3 linked regions of the Saccharomyces cerevisiae S288C genome follow. The gene in region 2 interacts genetically with the main gene of each other region. Each region holds a gene or a part of one and is shown on either strand. Other genes may lie near its edges.

The links.
Region 1: of CDC13 (region 2) and STM1, extra expression of one rescues a mutant of the other (dosage rescue), as found in Saccharomyces cerevisiae (4 studies listed by BioGRID, with this or other methods).
Region 3: of CDC13 (region 2) and SAN1, a mutation in one rescues a mutant of the other (synthetic rescue), as found in Saccharomyces cerevisiae (5 studies listed by BioGRID, with this or other methods).

What each region holds. Positions count from the first base shown.
Region 1 is NC_001144.5:438,780-441,788, reverse strand, and holds STM1 (Stm1p), read right to left. Parts: upstream 1,323-3,009; coding exon 501-1,322; downstream 1-500. Other genes in the region: PCD1 (8-oxo-dGTP diphosphatase), read left to right, coding at 1-74; GID11 (Gid11p), read left to right, coding at 1,966-3,009. UniProt on the Saccharomyces cerevisiae protein: Ribosome preservation factor that protect a small pool of nontranslating, vacant ribosomes in cells under nutrient starvation conditions.
Region 2 is NC_001136.10:60,499-67,589, reverse strand, and holds CDC13 (telomere-binding protein CDC13), read left to right. Parts: upstream 1-2,571; coding exon 2,572-5,346; downstream 5,347-7,091. Other genes in the region: YDL218W (uncharacterized protein), read right to left, coding at 144-1,097; DTD1 (D-tyrosyl-tRNA(Tyr) deacylase), read right to left, coding at 1,825-2,212, 2,284-2,348; FMP45 (Fmp45p), read left to right, coding at 5,789-6,718. UniProt on the Saccharomyces cerevisiae protein: Single-stranded telomeric DNA-binding protein that regulates telomere replication. Has a role in both positive and negative regulation. Promotes [TG(1-3)] strand lengthening via interaction with EST1.
Region 3 is NC_001136.10:741,542-745,449, reverse strand, and holds SAN1 (ubiquitin-protein ligase SAN1), read left to right. Parts: upstream 1-1,575; coding exon 1,576-3,408; downstream 3,409-3,908. Other genes in the region: MKC7 (aspartyl protease), read left to right, coding at 1-1,139; PEX7 (Pex7p), read left to right, coding at 3,850-3,908. UniProt on the Saccharomyces cerevisiae protein: Plays a specific role in mating-type regulation of yeast, by acting post-translationally to control the stability or activity of the SIR4 proteins.

The DNA of each region.
Region 1 (3,009 bases), on a different chromosome or scaffold from region 2:
GAAACTTAAAATATAGCGATGTGATACCTGAATACTACATGAAGCACCTGCTGGAGTGCCGCTCGCTTTGGTAAAAAAAACTGTGGTATAATGCGTTGCCTAACAATACTCTCAAGAGATAATCAAGATGAGAGAAAAAGAATCATACTGGATGTCCTTAATCGATAACAAAAAGTTTTTAATGAAGAATGACTAATGATGAAATTGTTATACAAATACAAACAAACTACACGCTTGCACATCTCAGAAGTGAAAAAAAAAAAAAGAAAATTGAAAAGTAAATTAAAAGTCATTTATTTTTTATTGCTTAAATAAAACAAAATGATATGTCATATTCTCGATTGGATGTCAACCCAATTTTATTCTTTGGTTTGCCAGCATGATCATCTTCACTTGCAAATTATATAGTAAATAACCAATTAAAATAATAATAGTAATAGAAACAGAAAGTAGAACACTGTTATTGGATTCTTTCAGTTGGAATTATTCATATATAAGGCTTAAGCCAAAGATGGCAAGTTAGAAACGTCAATGTTACGGTTCTTTTGAACGGTGTTAGCAGAGTTAGTAGCGTTAGCAGTGTTGTTACCCTTTCTAGCGCCTCTACCACCACGACGGTTGTTGAAGTTGTTTCTGCTGTTGTTGTTTCTGTCACCGAAGTTCTTTCTAGTGTTAGATTCAACAAAAGTGGCATCAAATTCCAAGTACTCCTTGGTCTTCAATTGCTTAGATTTGACGTTCTTGACCTTGGTTGCTGGAACGTAAGCTTCCTTTTCAGCAGTTTCAATTCTTTCAGCGTCTAATTCAACCTTCTTAGCTTCTGGGACCTTGTTGAACTGGTTGTTAGCTTGTTGGTTCAAGTAGTCTTGCAAAGACAATTGAGCGGTCTTTGGCTTACCAGCGTCTTCAGCTTCTGCAGCGTCTTCAGCAATTTCAGCAGCAGCATCGGCTTGAGCTTCCTTTTCAGCACTCAATTCCTTCTTGTCATCACCCCAACCTTGGTTAACCTTCTTCTTGGTGTCAGTCTTACCAGTTCTAGAGTGGCGGTCAGTGGCCCTTCTGGTGTTGGACTTCTTGGTGGTGGCAGAGTCAGTGACATCCTTTGATCTGTTGTTTCTTCTACCAGCGGTCTTGTCTCTGATAGCACCCTCGTTACCAGAAGGTCTTGGTCTGTTCTTTCTAGCCTTGGATGGGTCAGCGGATGGAGGTGGGACGTCAGCCTTCTTGGAGGAAGTGTTGCTCTTGACGATTTCCTTTGGTGGCAAAACGACAACGTCAGCGTCTTCGACGTCGTTACCTAACAAATCAAATGGGTTGGACATTGAGAATAAAATGTGTATGCTTTCTTGGTTTATTTCTACTTCACCTCTAAAAGAATACTGTGGGGGGAAGAGAAATTTGCAAAGAAATAACTTCTAATTTAAAACTACGAAGCAGAAAAAAAAATCTTCCACAATAAACCAAGTATACAACTAAAACAAGCGAAGGAAGGAAGAAGAACAAAGGGGATATCGACTCAAAATCAAATATTACAAGGAAAATACCATATAATTTCTCTACTCAGTTAGGGCTTCCTCTACGCAACGATGATATCAAAATTGAAAAAAAAATTTCTTTTTGCGTTGGTGCGAACTTTTGGGAACACTTTCCATTCCAATAATTTCACTTTCCTTTATCTTTCTAAACGGTGATGTTACCCGTCTAAATAACAACATGGTAGCGCCATATGTTATACGGCTACAACTTTGTGTCACGTGACATTGAACGGCTTTAAAGCGGAGTATGATCTCTTTTCTGAGGCAATAAGGGGTGATGATCAGAAAGTGAGGAGGAGGAGACTCTGGATTAAAAGCCTATTACAACTTTATTCTAGTACAAAACTTTTGCTGATTAAGCAACGACAAGTAAGATCGAATAAAGTGGTAGAAAAACAGCAATAAGTTACAAAAGTATACGTGTTAAAGAATGACCATTGATGGCACGGGGCAATCTAAGGAGGCGCTGCAAGATGAACGGTTAAATACTGGCTCTGATAAGGTTTACCAAAACTATATGATGCCTGCTTTAGAACTCTACGATGCCAAGGTCTCCATAAACCATTGGCAGTTGCGGGATTGTATCAAACCAGGCTCCATGAACCAGAGTAAACTGTATTATATTTACGATCATTCGATAAGAGTACTAGATACGGATTCTTCCGTATTGAGGTCTCCAGTAAGGCGACATAATTCTATTCAACCGAGTAACAGTGGTAAAAACTCTACTGAAAAAACGTCTACAAAAGGTTCTAGGACAACGGGCTCGTATATCTCCAAAAATTTACATGTTCCTTCCGAGAAACTGGTAGAGTTCAACTTTAAGCCGAGATGTTTCACGGAATTAAATGGGTTGACTGTTTGTGGTGGTCTAATCGGTTCTGATGATAAGGGATTCCCTTCTAATTGGAACCGTTTAGCTCAAGATGCAAATATTTCGTTGCCGCCACCTTCCCAACCGATTAATATTTCCAAAAATATTAGTTTCCCTATAAATTCACATTATTCAAATCCTAATATCTGGAAGGGCATCGTGGAGTTTTATAATCAAGAAACGGACACAATGATGACTTTTACGTTGGGCCAGTTCATCAATAATTGTGTCACACTTTATGACAGGGCCAGTATGCAGTTTGATCTTTTTGCATGCAACAATGATGGTCATCTTTACCAATGCGATGTAAGTAATAGAGATGTAACACTAGTGAAGCGTTATGCGGATTTAAAATTTCCTTTGAATAACGCTTCTTTGTCACATGATGGTCAAACGATGGTAGTGTCTGGCGATTCTAATAAATTTGCTGTTTACAATCAAAATGAATTAACCAACCAATTCTCCTTACATTACGATAATCATCCTTCCTGGGGTAGTTCTGTCAATCGTGTTAGACGGATACCACGGTTTGCGTTACCTGATGAATCAGAATATATCGAAAACATATATGAAGCTCCAAATTCAGACCATGGGTTTTAT
Region 2 (7,091 bases):
CATTATTCACACCTGATAAGGATTTTCTAAAAGACGACGCCATTATTAGAACAGGAGCAATTCAAATCGTTAAGCAAAGAAAAGAAAAAGAAAAAGAAAAAGTATGTGAAGGGTATAGACGAACAAAAAGGAAATCATTGAATTTATGGCATTTGATTGACGTTCCTGTTTGGTTCTGCAGTGCTACCACTCATAGCGCCAGAGTGAGCTCCTTCTGTGACCTTTTCTTGATAAGACCGATCACCTGACTCATCCGTAGAGTAAGCGTGCTGGTCCACTGCACTGTTAGCGACATTCGCAGAACCAGGATTACGATCGTTGGTGGTGTAACGCGTCTTAGGGTCCGCTGTTGTTGTGGTGTAACGTGTGTTGGTGGTGGTAGTATGGTACTGCCCATTGGGGTCATTAGTTGCATAGCGTGCGTCGCCATTCGGTTCAGATGTGTAAGCAGCATTATCACCTGCACCTGCTTCGACATCACCGGTCCTAACATTGGTGTTATCGTAAGCAGCTGTTTCTTCAAAAGGCTCGCTTAAAGCTAGTCCGCTCCACCTATGGAGCTTTGTACCCATAGAAGCGCCGCTTCTCCACATTCCTTGGGTTTGATAACGCTTCCTGATAGGTGTTAAGACATTAATTCCCAGTAATATCACACTGATCAAAAACAGTACAAAGCAAAGGCCAGAAAAGGCGATTGCCGCCTGAGAAGAATTACATGCTCTTCTATGACTGTCAGCAGTATATTGGCCACTGTACGGATTATAGTATAATCCGTCTGCATTAGTGTTGCTACAGCTACGTTCACCTTGAGCTTTGGCAAGAACAACGAAAGCTGCTAGCCATAGCATACAAACGATCAATTCGGCACAGAAGTACATTCCTATGTAGATCAATGTGGGTAGGGCCAGACACAAAATACCTAAGGCAATCAGATAAAACACACTAATGACACCTGTTGCCAATGTGAAGTTGGTTTTCTTATTACCTCTATTTCCATAGGCGTGGATGGCATACGCCAAAAGTGACATCACCAAAACCGATGATGCAAATTGAGAAAATCTCAAAAGTGTTAAGAAAACTCCAGTAACTCGTTTCATAACGTTGATATAATATATCTATTTGGTTTATGTTCCTCAATTGAAAAAAAAAACCGTAAACTTTCGTACTGAGAACATCAAAGCATAATGGTAACGGACGCTTTGTTGAACCTTTTTATACGTTGTCTTTTAGGGAATGTTAACCAACCATCGTCATCCCTTAAGATACGGTTTCAATATCCCTTGGAAACCAAATATACGTTAAAGTCATCAACGAGTATGCTTACTGGTTTATTAGTAACACAAACCTCAAAATCTCCTTAACTATCGTCAATTTAAGGGTATATATCCCCTTTCTCATTGTGCGTTTCTTTTTCCATGCCAGGTCAATACTCTCCTATGACTGGAAATACACTGTAAACATGCTTTTAGCCCTCTGGATTAGTAAGACTGGCAGGGCATCGCTTCGCCGTCCCTTTTTTCACTTTTACATTTTTTTTTTTTCATTTTCGCCCTTAAAGTTTTTTAAAGTTGATTTACTTACTTTTATGTAAAGAATATAAAACAATTCTAGACTTTCTTGGCGAAGGTTATTGAAGGAAGCGTGAATTCAAAAATCCATCACAGATATTTTGTATTCATTTTTTTGGGGAGGGCTCCTCTCCGCTCTACTCAACTTCACTGAGAACATAACATGGAAAGATTTTGGTACTTTATCTTGCGAAAGAAAGATTGCAAATAATGTTTGCTTTTTATTTTCTTCTCGTATATATCTATAAGGTCAATCTTATTGGTCACTGTCAAGAATGATTGTAACGGGCCCTTCATTAGTTAAAGAGCAACTCATCATTGCGCCGAATTCACCATCCTTTACTTTTTCCTCACCCAAATCACTTCTTAGTAATTTTAAGAATTCTTCATAAAGTTCTTTAGCTATATGACCCTTTTGGGCCAAATGGAAATCGGGTTTAGTTCCCTTCTTGGTTTTTGCCATCAAAGTGAATTGAGACACGGATAGAATTTCACCATTGGCCTCTTTAATATTCTTCTTCCATAGATTTCTGGATTCATCTTCGAAGATTCTCAAACTAAGAACCTTTTTCGATAATTTATCTATCTCCGCCATAGAATCATCAATGGAAATACCTACTAGGAGCATATAACCATGTTTAATACTGTCACATAGATAGAGGTGTTAGTAAAAAAAATTGGTGCACTAACGAAGCTGAAAAAACCGGTAACATACCTTGAAATAACTTTTGAATCGACGACTACAGATGCTTGGCTGACTTTTTGTAAGACAATCTTCATTGTAAATCCGCTGCTGAATAATATGTGGATTATTTAATATGTACATGCAGCCTTGATTAACGTGATTATACTTTTTAAACCTTTGATATCCAAATTTTTCAACGTCATAAGAGACGCGAAGGCCTAGTGAGATGCGAAATGCTAATTCAAAATGGAAATTTAAGAATATATTCATATATGTTTCTCTTTGGATACGAATGACCGTGGAAACTATCGCCTAAAAATGGATACCTTAGAAGAGCCTGAGTGTCCTCCACATAAAAATCGTATTTTTGTGAGCTCGAGTAAAGATTTTGAAGGCTATCCCAGCAAAGCAATAGTTCCCGTGCAATTCGTGGCGCTTTTAACCTCAATACACCTGACTGAAACAAAATGTTTGCTAGGCTTTTCTAATTTTGAGAGGCGAGGAGATCAATCCCAAGAAGATCAATATTTAATCAAACTGAAGTTCAAAGATAGGGGCTCGGAGAGGTTAGCCCGGATCACTATTTCCTTACTTTGCCAATACTTTGATATTGAACTGCCAGATTTAGATTCTGACTCAGGCGCATCCCCAACAGTAATACTGAGAGATATTCACCTTGAAAGGTTATGTTTTTCAAGTTGTAAAGCTTTATATGTATCAAAACACGGGAACTATACTCTATTCTTAGAGGACATAAAACCGTTGGATTTGGTAAGTGTGATAAGCACCATATCTACAAAATCGACAAATAGCAGCAAGCATTCGTCATCAGAACTTATTTCAGAATGTGATTTGAACAACTCACTTGTGGATATCTTCAACAATTTAATAGAAATGAATAGAGACGAGAAAAACAGGTTTAAATTTGTAAAGTTGATTCACTACGATATAGAACTAAAAAAGTTCGTTCAAGACCAACAAAAGGTATTATCGCAGAAATCAAAAGCCGCAGCAATTAATCCTTTCTTTGTGCCAAATAGACTAGGGATACCTTACATTGAATCCCAAAACGAATTCAACTCGCAGCTTATGACGCTTAATGTAGATGAACCGACCACAGATATAAGCAACATGGGAGAGGAAATGCATGACAGCGCAGATCCCATTGAGGATTCAGATTCCTCAACTACCTCCTCTACCGGGAAATATTTCAGCTCAAAATCCTACATCCAGTCACAGACACCTGAAAGGAAAACAAGCGTACCAAATAATTGGCACGATGATGATTCCGGAAGCAAGAGGAAGAGAAAGCTTTCTTTCCACAGTCCGAACGCGTCCTCAATCCGCAAAGCCATCAGTTATGAGCAACTTTCCCTAGCTAGTGTAGGCTCAGTTGAAAGGTTAGAGGGCAAAATTGTTGGCATGAATCCACCTCAATTCGCCAGTATAAATGAGTTCAAATATTGCACATTGAAATTATATTTTACGCAGCTCTTACCAAATGTCCCAGACAAGGTCCTGGTGCCAGGCGTCAATTGCATTGAGATCGTTATCCCGACGAGAGAGCGAATCTGTGAGCTCTTCGGTGTTTTAAACTGTCAAAGCGACAAGATATCGGATATTTTACTACTGGAAAAGCCTGATCGAATTTCCGTCGAAGTTGAAAGGATCCTGTGGGACAATGACAAGACCGCCAGCCCAGGTATGGCAGTATGGAGTTTGAAGAACATTAGCACCGACACGCAGGCGCAGGCGCAGGTGCAGGTGCCTGCGCAATCGTCGGCGTCAATCGATCCGTCTCGCACAAGGATGAGCAAAATGGCAAGGAAAGACCCCACCATCGAATTCTGTCAGTTGGGACTCGACACTTTTGAGACCAAATACATAACAATGTTTGGCATGCTAGTCTCCTGCTCGTTTGATAAACCTGCCTTTATATCTTTTGTCTTTAGCGATTTTACCAAGAACGATATCGTCCAAAACTATCTTTACGACAGATATCTAATAGATTACGAGAACAAGTTAGAGCTGAACGAGGGCTTCAAAGCCATCATGTACAAAAACCAATTCGAAACGTTTGACTCTAAGCTCAGAAAAATATTCAACAACGGGCTAAGAGATCTACAGAACGGCCGCGATGAAAACCTTTCGCAATACGGCATAGTTTGTAAGATGAATATAAAAGTGAAAATGTACAACGGCAAATTGAATGCCATTGTGCGCGAATGTGAGCCGGTCCCGCATTCCCAAATAAGCAGCATCGCCTCGCCTTCACAGTGCGAACATTTAAGATTGTTCTACCAACGAGCGTTCAAGAGAATTGGCGAATCCGCAATTTCACGCTATTTCGAAGAGTACCGGAGGTTTTTCCCCATACATAGAAACGGTTCTCATCTCGCGAAACTGAGGTTCGATGAAGTAAAGCATGAACCAAAAAAATCACCCACTACACCAGCTCTCGCAGAACACATACCCGACCTGAATGCAGACGTGTCCTCCTTCGATGTAAAGTTCACAGATATATCTTCTCTCTTGGACTCCTCGGCTCGCCTCCCGCGCCCACAGCAAACACACAAGAGCAACACATTATACAGTTGCGAGGGCCGTATCATCGCCATCGAGTACCACGCATCTGATCTCTGCTTCCATATCACGAATGAGCTCCCACTTTTACAAACCCGCGGCTTGGCCCCGGAGCGAGTGTTGCAACTACACATCATTACCTCCAAGAACTTTGCTTATTTTTTCAACCGCTCAAGCGCCTACTTACAGCGTCAGCCTCTTGAGGAAAAATATACGCAATTGGCACAATTTCTCGGCCATTCATTTAAATTCAATATAACCTCCTCGCTCACGCTGTTCCCTGACACTACCGTGGCACTCCAGATCTGGTGCCCAATTGAATGCACCTTTCGGGAATTGCAACAACAGCTGGCCCATCCGAAGGTTGCAGCGGCTCCTGATTCAGGGAGTCTTGATTGCGCAATTAATGCTACCGTCAATCCTCTGCGACTTCTTGCCGCGCAAAATGGCGTCACCGTGAAAAAGGAGGAGGATAATGACGATGACGCCGGAGCCGTTCCCACCTCGTAAGACATGATCCGCGCAGCCCAACGCGGCGGTGCCAAATTGCAGTGACGTCTCGGAGTAATATAAAAAAAAAAGACCAAATAACCAAATTTAAGGGTGCTCTGAATATAAGGGAGTGGAACGTTTTCACACGAAGGAAAAGGGAAAGAGGGGAGTGGTAAGAAGCAAGAGTCAATGAAAGGTCTTCCTTCCTTCTTGATGCTAAAACAAGGATAGTCTGGAATGGGGAGGAGCATTCGGCGCAGATGCCGACATATAAAAGGATGGTTGCTTTGCAACAGTTACTTGATCTTGCTTTGTTCTCTTGATTAGTTATCCGTTAGATGCAAACTTTAAGTACAGTAATTTTGAAGTGAATTAAAAAGAAAGAGGTATTTACGTTTAACGCTTATACTTTCCTTTTTATCCAAGTAACAAGTAACACTAATCACTATAATCTACCGCTATGATTTTCAAAAGGTTCGTTAATTTGCTTGTGTTTTTATTCCTACTCGGTGCTGGCTTATTGACGTTTTTTCTTATTCTGTCAGGAGGCAGAGAATCTGGAACGCTGAAAAATTTTTATTGGTTACAGGCTGATACAAACGGCTTTAACAGCGCTCCATCGACCACGAGATGGTACAATTACAATTGGTGCGGCTACGAAGACGGCCAGCTAGCTAATTGCTCTAGCAGGGCGCCCGCCAAGCCTTTCTCTCCCAGAGACAATTTTGGTAACTCTGTCAATTTACCATCGTCGTTCAGAAACAACCGGGATACCTACTATTATCTATCCAGGGTTGGATGGGCCATGCTGCTGATTTCCCTATTTTTCATCGTACTGGCGCTGGTACCCGGCTTTCTGGCTACCTTCCTTCCTTTCAAGGCAGTGCCAGTCCTGTACTGTGTGTTGTCCTGGTTGGCCTTTTTCTTCATTATATTGGCTGCATGCTTGTACACAGGTTGCTATGTGAAGGCCAGAAAGACCTTCCGCAACAGCGGGAGGTCTGCAAGGCTGGGACCCAAAAACTTTGCGTTCATCTGGACTTCGGTCTTCTTGATGCTCGTGAACGCCATTTGGTCCACTATATTCAGTGCTACCCACAAGGCCCACTCTACCTACTCGGACCACGACATGTATGCCCAATATGAAAGCCCTTCTGTTGACACCGGTGCTCAAATGGAGAAATCCACTTACAATAGTGGGGCGACGGACGGCGCGGGCCCTATCACAGCCGCACCTGTGGTTGGACAGCCTCAACCTACAACCACCACTACTCCGGCTGGCAATGGCAAGTTCTTTCAAAAACTGAAAACAAGAAAGCAGGTGCCATCAGCTGAGTTAGAACCAGCTGGGGATGGTGGTCTTGCCGGGCCAGTGACGGTACGCGACTAGGAAGGAAATAATCACCATAAAATACTTCCTAATTTTTTTTTTCTTCCTACATTCGCAGTACCATAACTCTGCATCTACCTCCAACCGAAATATTTTTTTGTGACATGGTATAATCCATATGTATCGTGCTGAAATTTTTTCTTGGAGATTTTCATTTATTCTCCACCATTCTTTCTCGCCTCCCCTCCTCCTTTTCCTTCTAATAATAACTTAGTTCTTTTTCCTTCTTCATTAAAGAGACTAAGAAAAAAAAAACGTCAATAATACCCGGCACCTTAGTGTAATTAATAGTAATAATATTGAATTTAATTCTTTAATAATACCACCCCCTCAAGAAAATTAATATATAATACTAACTAACTCAAAAACACCT
Region 3 (3,908 bases), 680 kb from region 2:
TGAACATTACGGGTTTATCATTTGCTGTAGCAAACGAAACAAACTCAACAGTTGGTGTCTTGGGTATTGGTTTGCCTGGCTTGGAGTCAACTTATTCTGGTGTTTCTCTCAGCTCTGTACAAAAAAGCTACACTTACAATAACTTTCCGATGGTGCTAAAGAATTCGGGTGTAATAAAATCAACAGCTTATTCTTTATTCGCAAATGATTCTGATTCGAAACATGGTACCATTTTGTTTGGCGCTGTGGATCATGGAAAATATGCGGGCGACCTATACACAATTCCCATCATTAATACTTTGCAGCATCGCGGCTACAAGGATCCAATTCAATTCCAAGTCACTTTACAAGGATTAGGTACGTCGAAAGGGGATAAAGAAGACAATCTGACAACCCTAACCACTACAAAGATCCCAGTCCTGCTAGATTCAGGTACGACCATATCGTATATGCCAACTGAGCTGGTAAAAATGCTTGCCGACCAGGTCGGAGCTACTTACTCTTCTGCATATGGTTACTACATAATGGATTGTATCAAAGAGATGGAAGAAGAGAGTAGCATCATCTTTGATTTTGGTGGATTCTATCTTTCTAATTGGTTAAGCGATTTTCAGCTAGTCACAGATAGTCGTTCAAACATTTGTATACTAGGTATTGCACCGCAGTCAGATCCGACCATTATTTTGGGTGATAACTTCTTAGCTAATACTTACGTGGTATATGATCTGGACAATATGGAGATATCAATGGCTCAGGCTAACTTCAGCGACGACGGTGAATACATTGAGATTATAGAGAGCGCGGTTCCAAGTGCTCTTAAAGCACCTGGTTACTCAAGCACTTGGTCTACATATGAAAGTATTGTCTCCGGCGGCAACATGTTTTCCACGGCAGCTAACTCCAGTATATCGTACTTTGCTTCCACGTCTCATTCGGCAACAAGTTCTTCCAGCTCCAAAGGCCAAAAAACCCAAACAAGTACGACAGCTCTCTCTATTTCAAAATCTACCTCAAGTACTTCCTCAACAGGAATGTTATCTCCCACCTCAAGTTCATCTACGAGAAAAGAAAACGGAGGACACAATCTGAATCCTCCATTTTTCGCCAGGTTCATTACAGCTATTTTTCATCACATTTGATAAATCCCTCCCTCCATATAAGCATTTACTAGACTTTAAAAGTTGCAATGTATATCTGGAGGTATAACATTGTACATTACTTGAAAGAAAAGCGTCTTTTAACGTAAAATAAATAATACTGTTCTTTTTTATTGTTACTGGCTTCTTAATCAACAATTATATACTTCGACGCAAAAAGCCGGGTAAAACATTCTATCTGCCATTGTCAAAAAATATGAAAGAATTTTTTACATATAACTACATTGCATTAGTATCACCAAATCAATAATGAAATAATAGCTAAAAACTATATATTGAAGGAAATATAGTTTATCATATATATCCTCTAGTGAAGCTACTATAGATAGAAATTATTTAGCATTTCAGGATAGTTCGTTTCTCCCTTTTTTCCCCTTTGTTTTCTCTCATAGTCTTGTAACCTCAGCTTTTGTTCATTATGAGTGAAAGTGGTCAAGAACAAAACAGAGGCACAAATACATCACCAAATAATGCTGAAAATAATAATAATTCAAATGCAGCTTCCGGTCCACTCAATGGTGGTGCTGAGCAAACAAGAAACATAACCGTTTCCATTCAGTATTCCTATTTCACTCCGGAGAGATTAGCACATTTGAGCAATATATCTAATAATGATAATAACGAAAACAACAGCGCAGCATCCGGTAGCACGATTGCCAACGGTACTGGGCCCAGCTTTGGCATCGGAAATGGGGGCCATCAACCCGACGGTGCTCTTGTTTTATCTTTTCGTGATGTTCCTGCGTCTACTCCACAAGACCGTTTGAACAGCTTCATATCTGTTGCTGCTCAGCTTGCAATGGAGAGATTCAACAGACTATTAAATAGACCAAAAGGAATATCAAAGGATGAGTTTGATAAGCTCCCCGTTCTGCAAGTTTCTGATCTACCCAAGGCCGAAGGGCCCTTATGTAGTATATGTTATGACGAATATGAAGATGAAGTTGATTCAACTAAAGCAAAAAGAAAAAGGGATTCTGAAAATGAGGAGGAATCTGAAGGAACAAAAAAAAGGAAGGATAATGAAGGTGCGCCCCTACGCACAACCGCCGATAATGACAGTAACCCATCGATTACAAATGCTACGGTTGTTGAACCGCCTTCTATTCCTCTCACTGAACAACAACGCACTCTCAATGATGAAGAAACAAATCCAAGCTACAAACACTCACCAATCAAGTTACCTTGTGGCCACATTTTTGGGAGGGAATGTATCTACAAATGGTCAAGATTAGAAAATTCTTGTCCCCTTTGTAGACAAAAGATCAGCGAATCTGTAGGTGTTCAACGTGCAGCCCAACAAGATACGGATGAAGTAGCAGCTAACGAAGCTGCTTTTGAACGTATTAGACGAGTTTTATACGACCCAACTGCAGTGAATAGCACTAACGAAAATAGTTCCGCCCCATCCGAAAACACGTCCAATACAACGGTTCCCACTATCGGAAATGCAAGTTCTGGCGAACAGATGTTATCAAGAACAGGCTTTTTTTTAGTGCCTCAAAACGGCCAACCTTTACACAATCCAGTCCGTTTACCGCCTAATGATAGCGATAGAAACGGTGTCAACGGGCCGAGCTCAACTACTCAAAATCCACCCTCTAATTCTGGTGGTTCGAATAACAATCAAAGTCCGCGCTGGGTTCCCATCCCTTTGACTTTGTTCCAATTCCACAGTCCAAATCCGAATCCTTCCGCTTCTGATTCTTCGGCAAGCCCATCAGCAGCGAACGGTCCAAACTCAAATAACACTAGTAGTGACGCTACAGACCCTCACCACAACAGACTAAGAGCCGTTTTGGATCACATATTCAACGTTGCTCAGAGGGGAACTTCTGATACCTCTGCAACAACAGCACCCGGAGCACAAACTGTTCACAACCAAGGACGTAATGACTCATCGTCCTCTGATACAACGCAAGGAAGTTCCTTTTTGGAAAATATTTCACGATTAACAGGCCATTTTACGAATGGCTCAAGAGACAACAATAACGACAATAACCATAGCAATGATCAACAACGAGGTGGAAGTACTGGTGAGAACAACAGAAATAACTTGTTTTCCTCCGGTGTTGCCAGTTATAGAAATCAAAATGGTGATGTTACTACCGTCGAACTACGCAACAACAATTCTGCTGCCTTTCCTCCTACAGACGAAAATCCCTCTCAAGGCCAAGGTTCAAGCAGTTCGGACACCACCATTCATAACGACGTCCCTAATGATAACAATGAGCAACGATCATCACAATAAACAATACCGCTTCTGAAGTATGTTAATATGAAAATATGTCCTATTGGCAGTCATCCATTTTCAGACATTATTTTCTACTCCTTTTACCTTTTTTTTATCTGCATCTTTATATATATATATCATATACTTATTTTTCTTTACTTCTACTTAAAGTTCTATAATCATTGTTAATCAGAAATTTGCATGTCTCCAGCAAGTAAATATGAAGGCCGAGAAATTAAACCACCGACATAACCTCCTCTGAAAAGTCGTTTCGCAAAACAGTAAAAGGTGAAAACACTTTTAAGAACTGTGGAACACAAACTGTGTTTTCTTACCATAAAATCTTTTACCGGAGGTCGAAATCGTTTTCTTTCTGATTTGGAATTCGACGCTCGAAAAGTGCAGAGATCTCATATTGTTAACGGACTATCATCTAACTTTTTGCATAATTTATACAACATGCTCAGATATCATATGCAAGGTTTTAGTGGGTACGGTGTCCAGTATTCTCCCTTTTT